2 linked regions of the Drosophila melanogaster genome follow. The protein of the gene in region 2 interacts with the protein of the main gene of each other region in a biochemical or structural test. Each region holds a gene or a part of one and is shown on either strand. Other genes may lie near its edges. The genes, in order: PEK and eIF2alpha.

Evidence for each region.
Region 1: of the proteins of eIF2alpha (region 2) and PEK, one has a biochemical effect on the other in vitro, tested with the Drosophila melanogaster proteins (one study listed by BioGRID).

What each region holds. Positions count from the first base shown.
Region 1 is NT_033777.3:5,458,711-5,466,770, forward strand, and holds the start of PEK (pancreatic eIF-2alpha kinase), read right to left. Parts: upstream 6,044-8,060; 5' UTR 5,723-6,043; coding exon 5,505-5,722; intron 5,186-5,504; exon of another isoform or gene 5,083-5,185; coding exon of another isoform or gene 5,021-5,082; intron 4,411-5,020; exon of another isoform or gene 4,371-4,410; coding exon of another isoform or gene 4,342-4,370; intron 4,100-4,341; coding exon 3,364-4,099; intron 3,301-3,363; coding exon 2,140-3,300; intron 2,056-2,139; coding exon 682-2,055; 3' UTR 1-681. Other genes in the region: RpL35A (ribosomal protein L35A), read right to left, coding at 6,998-7,021, 7,090-7,317, 7,443-7,664. UniProt on the Drosophila melanogaster protein: Phosphorylates the alpha subunit of eukaryotic translation-initiation factor 2 (EIF2), leading to its inactivation and thus to a rapid reduction of translational initiation and repression of global protein synthesis.
Region 2 is NC_004354.4:16,444,676-16,449,170, forward strand, and holds eIF2alpha (eukaryotic translation initiation factor 2 subunit alpha), read right to left. Parts: upstream 2,319-4,495; 5' UTR 2,205-2,318; coding exon 1,510-2,204; intron 1,211-1,509; coding exon 880-1,210; 3' UTR 501-879; downstream 1-500. Other genes in the region: rngo (rings lost), read left to right, coding at 1-83; CG34015 (uncharacterized protein), read right to left, coding at 2,985-3,023, 3,097-3,287, 3,356-3,545; eIF4H1 (eukaryotic translation initiation factor 4H1), read left to right, coding at 4,023-4,054. UniProt on the Drosophila melanogaster protein: eIF-2 functions in the early steps of protein synthesis by forming a ternary complex with GTP and initiator tRNA. This pre-initiation complex mediates ribosomal recognition of a start codon during the scanning process of the leader region.

The sequences.
Region 1 (8,060 bases), on a different chromosome or scaffold from region 2:
ACAAGAATTTTGTTAACCATGAGTTTCATCACCTCTGCGACTTCCCTCAATCAGAAGTACGTACACAATTACTTAGTGGCCTATTGCGTATATCATTTATGTAAGACTTTTCAGCGCCTCAACCAATTTCATTACTACACACAATGTTGCCGCATGCGGCGACTGCTTTAAGGTATGCCAAGCGATTAGTCACAACCATTATCTCTATGGGCAATTAGAAAACATTTCCATTTCTATTTTTGACATTTTTATTTTAATCTTATCGCCTACGACTAAAAACAAACTCTCGCATTGGTTGGGCGGCTACATGGGTAGAAACAAACTAAGACAAACAATTTAGCATCGTAGGTAACTTAGGTAACTTAGGCTAACGACTGTTTAGGAGTACATCTTTATGTGTATGTATAATTCCTAAGGTTAAGTCTTAAAAACAAAAGGACATTTTGTTGGTAATTTGCGACGCGCAAGAGTAAAGGTAAACGTAATACAAAACTTATTGAATCTAGGGTTGCCCGGTAATGAATCTGCGACCTTTACGGGTCGAGGTCAGCGAATAAGGCATAGCCAGGTAAGGAATAAGCGATGGCGATACTGATGACTCACAAGCGAAATGCTATAAGTGACTGAGTTTGGCGCTGACAGAATGGGTGTCCAAGCTCATGGCCCAAATTGTCTGATCTATCACTGATGCGGCTCACTGGAGCTGCTGAAGGTGCGGCTGCGACTCAGGCGCCTGGCCCGCTCCGCCAGCTCCGCCTGCTCGCTTTGTCCTTCCGAGAGGAGATGAGGTAGCTGCAGAATGTTGCGCAGCTGGCTTTTCAACTGCTTGGTCTGCGGGCGTTGCTCTGGCTGGGCGGATAGCATTTGCTGGAGCAAGTCGTACTGCTGCGGGTAATTGACAGCGAAATCCTTGGGATACTGGCCGTCCCGAAGACTGCGCAGTGTCTTGATCCGCTCCATTTCAGTGCTGAAGTACACGTGCAGCTCGAAGAAGATCAGTCCCAGTGAATAGATGTCCACCTTGTAGTCGTAGTGCTGGCCCAAAAGCTGCTCCGGCGACATGTATAAGTGGGTGCCCACCTGCTGGGTGTGGCGGGCACAGGAGGGCAGGCCACTCTGGTCCCCACACTTGGCCACCAGGTTGGGGATATCGGCCATGTCGGTGACGAGCCCGAAGTCTCCAATCTTTATCTGTCCATCCTGCGAGAAGAATATGTTGCTTGGTTTCAGGTCCCGATGAATCAGACCCTTCAAATGTACATAGTCAACGGCATCAACGATCTGGTGAAAAATGTCACCAATGTGGGCAGCCCTTGTTTCCGACCGGTTGTCCCTTAACCAGTCGCGCAGACTCTCCTTGCGGCATAGCTGCATCTGGATGTAGAGGTACACCTTGCTGGGCTTGGCCACCGTTCCGTTCAGAATCGTGGCACTGGAGGGCGTAGGTTGGCTCCCGTTTTGGTTGTTATTGTGATTCTGGGCCAGTGCCAAGGTAAGGGGCTTCCTTCTAGCTTTATTATCGTCATTCGCATCATCACTTCCACTGCTCTTGGGGCGCACAGATTCGATTTGAAACGAATTGGAGACCAGTTGGTGCTGTGAGTAGTTTATGTTCTTAAGGTCAAACGAGGCCGAATGGATGTCAATGGACACGGAGCTGCGATGTCGTTTCTCATGGTCTCCCTGCTGCTCTTCATCCTCTTCATAGTCGTCGTCGGTATCATCCTCCTCCTCTGCCCGTAAAGCGGCTGACTGCGACTCGCTGCGGAATTCAATGAGCGAGTCCTCTTCCTCATCGTAGTCGTACTCCTCGCGTATGTTCTTGAGTGATGACTCGCCTGGTAGATGAAAGTCGTGACTACAAGCGGTGCTATTGGCTGCATCCGAAACCCAGGACAAGAGCTGCTGTTGGCGTTTCTCCTTCAACTGCTCCGTCAACGAAGGCATTGTACTATCGTCCGGCGTCTCTATCTGGATAGAGGTGGACAGCTCGTGGGCAAGCAGCTTGCGATCCTCTTCTTCCTGCCAACCAGTCGGCGGTGTCTCGGTCCAGGACTGGAAATTTTACAATAAAGAGTTTTATCATCAGATAATACTTAAAAACTTAATTTTAACTTTTAAATAGATAGAAGAACTTACATGGAAGTATCGCACGATGTTGTGGTGCTCACAACTAGCCAAAGTTCGAGCCTCGCGAAGGACTCGCTGTCTTGAAGATTCCTTATTGGGTAGCGTTATGCGCTTAATGGCGTATCGGTTCTCATCCAGCTTGTTCTTAGCTTCGAAGACCACTCCGAAACCACCGCGACCAAGGCACTGCATCAACTCGAAGTCGGACTGAAAGCGGGAAGTGTAATGCTCGCCTGAATGAGTTGTAGACTCCGAAATGGTGCGCTGATTTGCTTGTCCAGGTGGGAAGCTAAAACGATTTCCAGGTCGCTGCATCGGCACCACTGGACCTAGTAAAGCCTGTGTGGATGCTTCGGTGGCCTCGATGGCCGTTTGAACAGGCACATGACGTTCAATGACCAGATACTCTCGCTCCACGCGCTGGTTTCGTTGGCCCATGAAAATATTTAGAATCACAGCCGACGTAAATGCTATGACCACGATTTCCTTCCACCAGAACCACAACGACAATATCACAACCTTTACAGGCGCATCAATGTCATCCAAACTAAAGCCCAAATCGTCGTTGACGCTATGGTTTCCAGTAGCTTCCGTTCCCTCAGATGTGGCATTGGTAGGCGATGTTGGAGCTGTGATTGCTGGAAGGTCAGTTGGATTATTCTGCGTACTGCACTCTTGCGGGCCGTTCAGATCGCCAGTGGTGTAGAAGTAAAAACCATTGCCATTGACAAACTCCGATGCATTCAATACGGACTGCGCTGCCACAGCGAAGTTTTCATCATCATAGGGCACCAGTTCCCCTCCTTGTGCCACAGCTCCCTCAGCAATCATTTCAGGGTCCTCCTGGTCTTTCCGGAAGATTACCAGCGATTTGCTACTGGCGGATATCGGCTTCCAGGGAATCCTGGGCATCAGGCTGGTGTCGCCTGTAAGCTGCTGATAGACCTTGGTCTGGTCCATAATCTCCTGGCGTAGACGTATTGACTCCTGAATATACAACTGTTTATCGTACATGCCCAAGTAGATGGATGGCGGGCTTTGTGGCGCATTGGGCAGCTCCGTGTCATTTTCGTCCTGGTCCCAAAGCCACTGGGCCGAGCTAAACAAATCAATAGGCTGCAATTCGTCGTCGGCATTTGTATTCCAGGCACTCACAATTGGGTGATCAAACTGAAAAGCACACGAAAAGTACTAAGTAAATTTGCCTTTAATATTAAAGCCATCACCACTTACCTTGTACTTCCACAGCATAGTCTGTGGCTCACTTTTGCTGAAGGCGCAGATAATTCCCTCGGGCACTACCACCTTTATATCCACATCCAAAACAGCCAGCTCCAGCTCATCGCGCGGCTGTAGCTGGCACTCGGAAGGTCTCACCAGATCCAACTCATGCTGACCTACGCTAAAGTTCCAACGCTCCACTCCGGTCCGGGATTCCACGGCCCGAACCGTTTGTGTCTGGCGGCGGACGATAATAACGTCGTCAAGGAGAGGATCATGGCGCACTATGTAGCCGGCCTCGTCCCTTAACTGTTCTCCGTCCTCCAGCTGATCCTCCTCATCGGGCTCCCTAATGGTGTCGTCGATTGCAAGCCCTTCCTCCGTAGAGTTTACACATCCGTTTAGAGAACATTCATACAGCAGCTGGCCAGTGCGAACGGAAACACCGTATGAGCGTGTCTCCTTGCCTCCGGATATAACCAGATCATCGCTGAATTTGGCGCTCGAGCTGAGTAGGTGCTCCGCCGTGATTGGAATGGGATCGATGGAGTCCCCGTCGAACTTGTAGATGCCGCCGCTCAAAGAGGGAATCATGCGTACGAACTGCCCATTGTTGGTCAGCTCCAATCGATGGATGCTGGACGAGATTAGTGGCCCCGGTCCGGTGGGCACACTCCAGCGCAGTTTGCCGGACTTGGCGATGTCCAGAGCGCTCAGTCGACCATCAAGCGTGGAAATGTATAGGAGTCTGTGGATAGAATAAATAATGCAATACCAAGTTTTAATGTTTTTATTTCCATATTTAATAAATAAATATCGACTACTCCATATTAGCTAATAGTCCATAATGGCGGAATTTGCCAAATTGTTATTTTCGCTAAATGATACCGTGTCAGCGTAACAAGGATTTTGTAGCTTGTGGAATTTAGAGTGGGCGAGGCCAATATGTTTTTAAAAGCCGTTCTTGTTAAATATAAGAATACCGTATACCCTTTATGTAGGTAATATCCAATTACCATGGGCGAGCTTGAAATAAACAAACACAAGATTTTGAAGAAAAAACAAAAAACACAGCATACATAGATTCAAGTAATGATTTGATTTTTATGTAATATTTTCTATTCGTGCAATTAATGTAAAAATTGAATTTTCTGTAAGTGAGTAAGCCTTTGGTTAACTGTTTAAAATATTTCAACTCGAAAGATTAAATACTAGAGTTAAATTTGCAATTATACAAAAAGTTGATTTGTGCTTGCAACCGATTCCGTCACCAGGTACACGGTGCATGGGGCAAGAATAAAGGAAAGCAGGAAAAGGGGCACACTGGCAGACCCAGCTGACAGCGTAGAAAAGGTAAATGGGAAGTAAACTCAGCTGTTTTTGCGCCAAGAAGACAAGAACTCGAGGAACAACAAGTGTCAGTTGGCCCCTCTCCATTTCCCCTATCGCCATCTCTGTCGCGCCCACCAAGGAGCCGAAAATGGCGCCCGCAAAAAGGGGGGATAAAGCAAACGGGGGGAGAATTGTGAAATTCAGTGAAAACCTTGCACAAACGCAAAGGAAAGCAAAACAATCGGGGAAACCAGTTCGGATTGGCATGCTTGCCAAACAACATATCTAGACGTCTGCCTCAAACAAAAATTCAGTTAAGATCTTGCAAATGACTCACCGCATGCTTGATAAGCGCGTCCACTGATTACGGGTTTTCATAGTTGGCCAAGGTGCAAACATGTGGGTTCATATTATCAGATCGCTCCCAGACTTCAAGTTGAACAGAAGCTCTCCGAATTTCTCGTGTTAGACGGGACAAGGTACTTAAAGCTAAGGGCCGTCGCAAATGTTACCAACTTGTCGGATCAGCCGAGAATTTTGAGCTACGTATTTTCACTGGCCCCCCGTCGTACCACAGTTCTCTTCGAATTCCCCGTTTTAGCTGATTAAATAGGCACTTTTCGAGTAGTTCAACCAAATATCACTAACGTGTTCTTCGCAATATTTGCCTAGGTGCTGGCTGCTCGTTTATCCACTTGCACCGCGTTTTAGCGAATGTTCGAGAACATAAACATAACACACACATAACGCACTCTTCTTCTTCTGCTACAATCCATTCGATACCAGTGCATTCCTCCCGATACTTTGGTTAGGGTACGTACCTTCTTGCAACGCGACGCTCCTCCTGATCTACGCAGTGTTCGAGCCCGGGGGGACGGGGAGATCCGGCAGTCTGGAGCTCCGAATCAGTAGTTGGGTGCCCAGCTAGCACCTGGGCGGGATCGAAAGCCACCAGGCCGGCCATAGTGAGCGTGACGATCTGCAGGAAGCTCAGGCTCCGGCGACGATGCCTCACGATGCCATCCAGGTCGTCCTGCATCGTACGCGCATATAACGTAATCCTGGTCGTTGGCGATCGGACGCGGGGAACGGTGCAGAAATGCAAGTCTCTAATTGGTTCGAACGGTGACGTGTTGACCTCACTTCGGGGGGTCGGTTGGTGGAACAGCGGCGGCAGTGGCTCCCGGCAAGGTCGGCGCACATCTCCGCATCACTCTCGATGGCTCCTGCAGCAATCAATCGCAACTCCACTATTTAAATCCACTAAAACTGGTCAGTTTATGTTTTTGTTCCGATTGGGCCGCAAAACGCGCGATTGCAAGTGTGACCGCGTTTTGACAGCCTTAAAATAACAGATGACACCACAATACAGTTTATTTCGTCATTACCTAAAAGTACCAAAAAAATACACACGGTGGGAACAGTTTCACTAAGGTTTTACTATTTTAAACTTTTCCAGTAACTAATTTAAAACAATGTTTGACGCCCATGTTTTGACACAAATAGGGACAACTTAACAATAATTATTAAAGTAGATGAAGTATTATTTCCATCTCATCTCTTATTGAATACTTCTATTATTCGACGTGTTTTAAAAATAAATTCTATTCGGCTATAATTCTGACACATACCAAATGAAATTCAAACATTACTTTAATTTAAATATGCTCTACCTTCTAAAAATATGTTAGGTGGTATATTCGTCATAATATAGAAACGTTTATTACAACATTTATTCTTTTTAAAAAACTTTTGATTACTATGAAACCATTTCCTTGATTTTTTTAGAAACCGCATTGTTGATTAACAGAAACTTGAATTCGTATGATTTTCGAGCAGAAAGGCTACGCCATACACCCCTAGTGTCCTTGCGAAAAGATTCGTTAGTAGTACACACTACAGTATTCGTTGACTTTGGCAATACAAAAAATAGTTTTGAGATTTTCAAAACTAATTAAAATCTATTATGGTAGAAGTGGTATGTCTGATCTAAAGGAACGACATTAGCCAAGAGTCTCGAAATCCACATTCAATTCGTACTCTAAAACGTTTCCATCGTCTTCATCTGCTACTTAAGATCAATATAAATGGATTTTAATGCGAAGTGGATGGTCCCGCCAAAAGATAATTCATTGCAGTAGGGAAAGTCAAACCGAACAGCCATCAATCGATATACAGATTACCGTCAACTTTCAATCGGTATCTCGCCTTAATAAAAAAGCCAAGTTGCGTTTTAATTAAATTTAAAGTGTTTCATTTAATGTAAAACGGATTTTTTACTCCTGCAGGTCAGTAATTCAAGTCGGATATTAACTTAAATCCTTGATGGGTACAGCATCTGCAAGAAAAAAGAAGGCATGTTAATACAACCCAATTGTCGGACAGAAAAGGTGTGTTTGAACTAACGATGCGGATGCGGTGGCCCATGGCATGACCGGGCAGGTTCCTGTTGAAACGGGCACGCACAGCGCCGGTGTTGCCGTGGATGCGGGTGACCTTGCCCCAGACAGCGCGGACGCGGGTCTTGCGCTCGGGATGCTGCGGCACGCACTTCTTGGTCTCGGCCTTGTAGACATAGACGCAACGCTTCCCAACGTAGAAGGATCCGTGCTCCTTGCGGCGGGCGCCCTCAATCTGCAATGTAATATGTTGGTTAATCAATTACATTACTAAAATGTTTTTACAGAACTGGAATGTATTAATTATTATTTGAAAAACTCTGTGAAGTCCGGACCCATCACATTGAAGTATAGACATACCTTGAGGATGGCCTGGTTCTCGTGCTGGTTCCTCAGACCACGCTTGTAGCCGGTGAAGACGGCCTTGGCGAAGAGGCGTCCGTGACGCTTGTACTTCTTGGCGGAAACTTTAGCCTCTGAGGCGGCGGGCTTCTCGGCCTTAGGCGCCTTGACGGCCTTGGGAGCCTTCTGGGCCTTGGCGGCCTTGGGCGCAGTAGTGGACTTGGCTTGTGTGTCGGCCATGGCTTAGCTGTGGATGAGAAAAGATAATCTTTAGAGCCGTAGGCATTCATCATAGGTATTCGTTGGGGCTTGAGGGTTTCGATCATTTGCATGCATTTGATTAAACGAAAAGTACTTTAAACATTGAAGATATTGAGGTGCACAGCTCTGGGCAACAGTACATTAAAAACATCATTTTATATAAAAATAAAGCGGAGTCTGGTGAAAATTCCTGTACCCGACCGGCCTGGGGCAACATTTAATGATAAAAACAAAAACTGATAACACGGATCACTTATTAATCTTCCACAAGAAGTTATTGAAATCACGTTAAAAACAACAAGAAAAGCGGAGGCCAAAAATGAACGCTGAAATTTTGCAATCAATGTGCACTGTGCGAAGCATGGAACTTTTGGA
Region 2 (4,495 bases):
GCCTGTGCGGCGGTAACAAGCAGGCGGCCAGGTCCGTGCTGCTCCACCGCAACGATGCCGCCTCGGGGAGCGAACTCAGCTGAACGCGGCTAGACGCACAGCCCACACCACCACCTAAAGCCGAACTCCCCATAGCCAGAAACCGGATTGCAATAGGATGATGAACAGACTGGACCCCATTAACTGGAAGCCGTTCCAACGAAATACTCCGAGCAATACCAAATAATAAGCCACGCCACGCCACATATAAAGTCAAATAGGAAATAGTAAGGACTATACACAACCACAAAGCAATGAATACCGAAACGAAAACCTTTCTAATTTAGTGAAATGTTTATAAACTGATGTCACTTTTTTTATACGAATCGTTTGTTACGATGTACAATATCTAATTAGGGTGCTACGCAGCACTACCGGGTCATTTTTAAAGCAGAGGTGGGTTGGTTTTTTCTAGAGAGAATAGTAAGCGATATAATCTAAAATTTAATGAATGAAAATCTGGACGGTGATGGAAACAAGCCGCATCAACGAAAACATGAAACAAGTAAATACAAAAGAAAAACGAAAGAATGCCTGACTATTAAATAATATTACACTTATACACAATTTGAATTAGTATTAAGGGTCTGTCAAGAAAAACTGAATTGGGTTCAATAATAAATGGTCGATAGTATTGTTTTGGATTTGAAAAGAAAAAGATGAGCAAGCGCATTTTGATTTGTCTTCTTGGGCATCTCGCTGTTTTCACTTTTATAAATCTTTAATAGCATTCGTTATATGTTATGTATATAAATTATAAAATTACAACTTCTGATTTTTGCAAAACTCCTTTAATTGTTTGTTACAGTTGCTATAGTTGTGTCTGATGCTGTGGCTACGCTAATCCTCTTCCTCCTCCTCATCCTCCTCGTTCGCACGACCCGCCCCCGATCCCTTGTGGTTGAACTCCTTCTCTGGATCGAACTGCATGCCCTCCTGGTCGGCGCCATCCTCCTCGTCATCGTCGCCAGCCACCTGGGCGTTCTCGGCCTCAGCGCGCTCCAGGCGTCTGGCCAGATCCGCCTCGTCGATGGCCGTAACCAGTTTGGGTGCCATGATCACCTTGAACTCTCCATCGTACTCGCTGGTCTTGGCGCGAATGTGCTCAATGGCCACCTCCAGAGCCTTTAAACCGTCTGTCTTCTTGGTAGTGGATGTGGTCATTACATAGCTAAAAGGATACGGATGAAGAGCGATTACGTTTAGGAACCAATTAACTCATTTAAGCAACATTTTTAGTTATTTCGATTTCACAAGAAGTTGTAAAATTAAATTGAATATAAGTTTTTCTCTTAACCAAGTGGTCATTTACAATATATACAAGATGAAAGGGATTTCCTTATTATTTAACGATAAATTTCGGCTAAAATGAAGAACAGAAATCTACAATTTTCGTATTCTTTTAATTAAAGAAACCCTCGTTAATTTCGTCTACACCAAGGGAAATTACAATAGTTTACAGGTACTTACAGTGGCGGTGCTATCAGGTTGATGCGAATGGGCAGCTCCTCGGTGCTCAGCTCCAGGCCCTTGGTGAGCGATGCCTTGACAGCGTCGATGCCCTCGTAACCGTAGCAGGAGCACTCGATGTCCGCACGGATCTTGACAGTGGGCGAGACCAGCTTCCGCTTGATGTTGCTCAACAGGACCTCCTTGGTCTCCGGTTCCAGGTTGCACTCATCGAAGACGGTGGGATCGGTGACCGATTGCTTGAAGATGTCGTAGGCGACCGTCTTGTTGTTGTACTTCTTCTCGAAGTGCCAGGCGGTCTTCTGGTAGAGATCTTCCAGCTTCTCGTTGCCCTCGAAGCCGAGTATGTCGGCGACATGGCGGAGCAGTGAGTTGATGGCCTTGGCCTTAGCGAAGCGCTCGGTGCACTTCTCGACATCTTCGGGCGAAACGCGACGCTTCGACAGATCGATGTAGCCCTTCTCCTTGTCAACACGGATAACCACCACCGGTTCGGTCTTGCCGACACGAATCAGCTTGTTGATGGAGCGGATGCGCCGGCGGGACAGCTCCGACAGCAGGATCATGCCCTCGATGTTGTTGTACTCAAGCAGATGAACGTAGGCGCCCATCTCGGCGATGGACAGCACGTTCACCATAACGACATCCTCGATCTCCGGATACCGCTCGTTGTAGAAGCGCGACGTCAGGGCCATGTTAAAGTCTGTGGTCTATGGCCAAAAAATGGGCAATTTGGACTTTTCGAAATGAAAAACGTGTACAATTTCTGCCGAGCGGGCGCAAGAAGAAGAAGCGTAAGGTATGACAGTGGTGTTATCGATATTTAATTGCGTAGCCGGCAAAACGTTGCCAATTGGATTGCTTCTGGTCACACTGGAAAGGTGGGGCAGCAGCGGTCTATCGATTGTTTGTCACATGGATTGCCGGTCAATTTCAAATTTTACTGTTTTGGTTTTAATTTTGATCAGAACATTCGAAATAATAGTCCAAATGTGGAATGCCATCCCTTGGCGAGCTTGTTATTTAAATACCAATCAATTTCAAATTGGAAATGTTAATTTTTGTTAAATTTATTGCAATATTACAAAAATTGCGAAAATTGACCCAAAAGTTAAATTCTCAAAAAGTTATATAGATTGCTAATACTGATAAATAGGAATAAAAAGCAGTTGTTCTTTTATCTATATGTCACTTTTTATCCATGTTATGATGATAATTCCCATATGTCAAATTTTCATTTTTCATATTTATCTGTTTAAATTTGCAGAACATTTTAAAAGGTTGCATATTATCGCATACAAAAAGGCCATTAAATATGTAATGACATGTAGCTTGAATCGGTTTTTTTAGAAGCTACACTTTTAATTTAAAGAACATTAGAATATTTGTATAGGTTGGCTCCGTTTATTAGTTAATTATGACAGCGCGCGAGTACAATATATATTTATCTAACAGTTATCTATGATGGTCCCGATCTATTCTTTTTGGGAAAGGTAAATACGCGCCTCGTCGACCTATAATTAAATAGATAAGATTAAATTAAAGCGGGCCTCTAAGTGGTCAAAATCAGAATAGCCAAATACTTACGGTTTTGAACCAAACGGAGGGTCTAAAGATCATCTTAGATAGGAAGGTCATTTGGGTGCGTGGGCTAATGGCATGCATGTGAAGATGCTTCACCGTGATAAACGGCGGCAGATGGAATCCGAAGAGGGCATCATCGACAGAAACTCCCTTGGACACCAGAAGATCCTTCAGGGCGTTCTCCATGAGCTGCACTGTAAGGAATCCAAGGATATCAGAATTATTAGGGCATGGCCCGAGGTCACGCCAATTCCAATCTTACCCAAAGAATCGTGCGATTTGTTAAGATCCTTGAGGCTAGCGTAGTGCTTTTTTGTCACTGCTAAGTAATGGTGCTGGGAAGCGGGTTTAATGTCCTGGAAGATGACAAAGTCATCGTTTTCGACTTCCAAAACAGTGGAGGGGATCCGCCCATCGGAAATTAGGCAGAAAATGCAGTTGTCGTCCGCCATGACTTAATTTTAAGTTCAGTCTATATAAAATATAGCAGTTTGTACTTTCACAGCTGATTAGTTGTACTGTCGATAACGATAAGAACTATCCTGGTGCTCCAAAAAAAAATACCGCTAAATAGATTTTCAGTATTAAAAAAAACCATTTGTGTCCAGTTACTTTTAGTATTATTTTTTTCAACAAAAAAATTTATACAAACATATGTATTCCTCTCTATGTATTCAATGTCATTTTTGAATGTTTCATTAGAAAAGGAACAATTGTAGAATGCTAAACAACTATAAATATTAATCGATATCTGAAAATTGGACGCAATTGGGCATGCGTCCCTGCTAACGACCAAAATACTAAGAAAGGCGGCTATCAGCTAATTGGTGTGGTGACACTGCCCGACCAAATTCGCCGCGATAGTATTTTTCGCCCGTGTGTTCACACTGCGGTTTGCAGCGAATTCGCTCATTTGAAAAAAATAAAACATGGCTGGAAGAGGTGGTTATGAACACGCTAGGTAAATATTATTAATTATTTTTGCAATAGCGTACGCTCCGCGTTGGCCGCGAACCGCCGGTGCTTGTGAAAGTGGACGCGATGCGATCGAATTGCGCGAGTGCCGACAATCTGGGCAAAATGTGTAATAATGCACGCGGTTTTTTGGGGTTTGGGCAAAAAAAAAGGCAACACCAGCCCACCAACACACGCGCACGCTCTCGCCTCGCCGCTCGCACACCCATACAGTAATGTGCATGTGTATTGTACGTGTCGGTCGTTGGTCGCCGACACCGCCGCCGCCGCCGCCTTTGTACGTGCGTGCGTGTGCGTATGTGTGTGGTGTGTGTGTGTGTGTGGTGTGTGTGAGGGGCAGTGTGCGTTTTTTTTTCTTAACATTCTTTTTCGGTTTTTATTTTGTCGATTCTTTTCATCGCTTGCGTTGTTTTTCTTGGAAAACTCT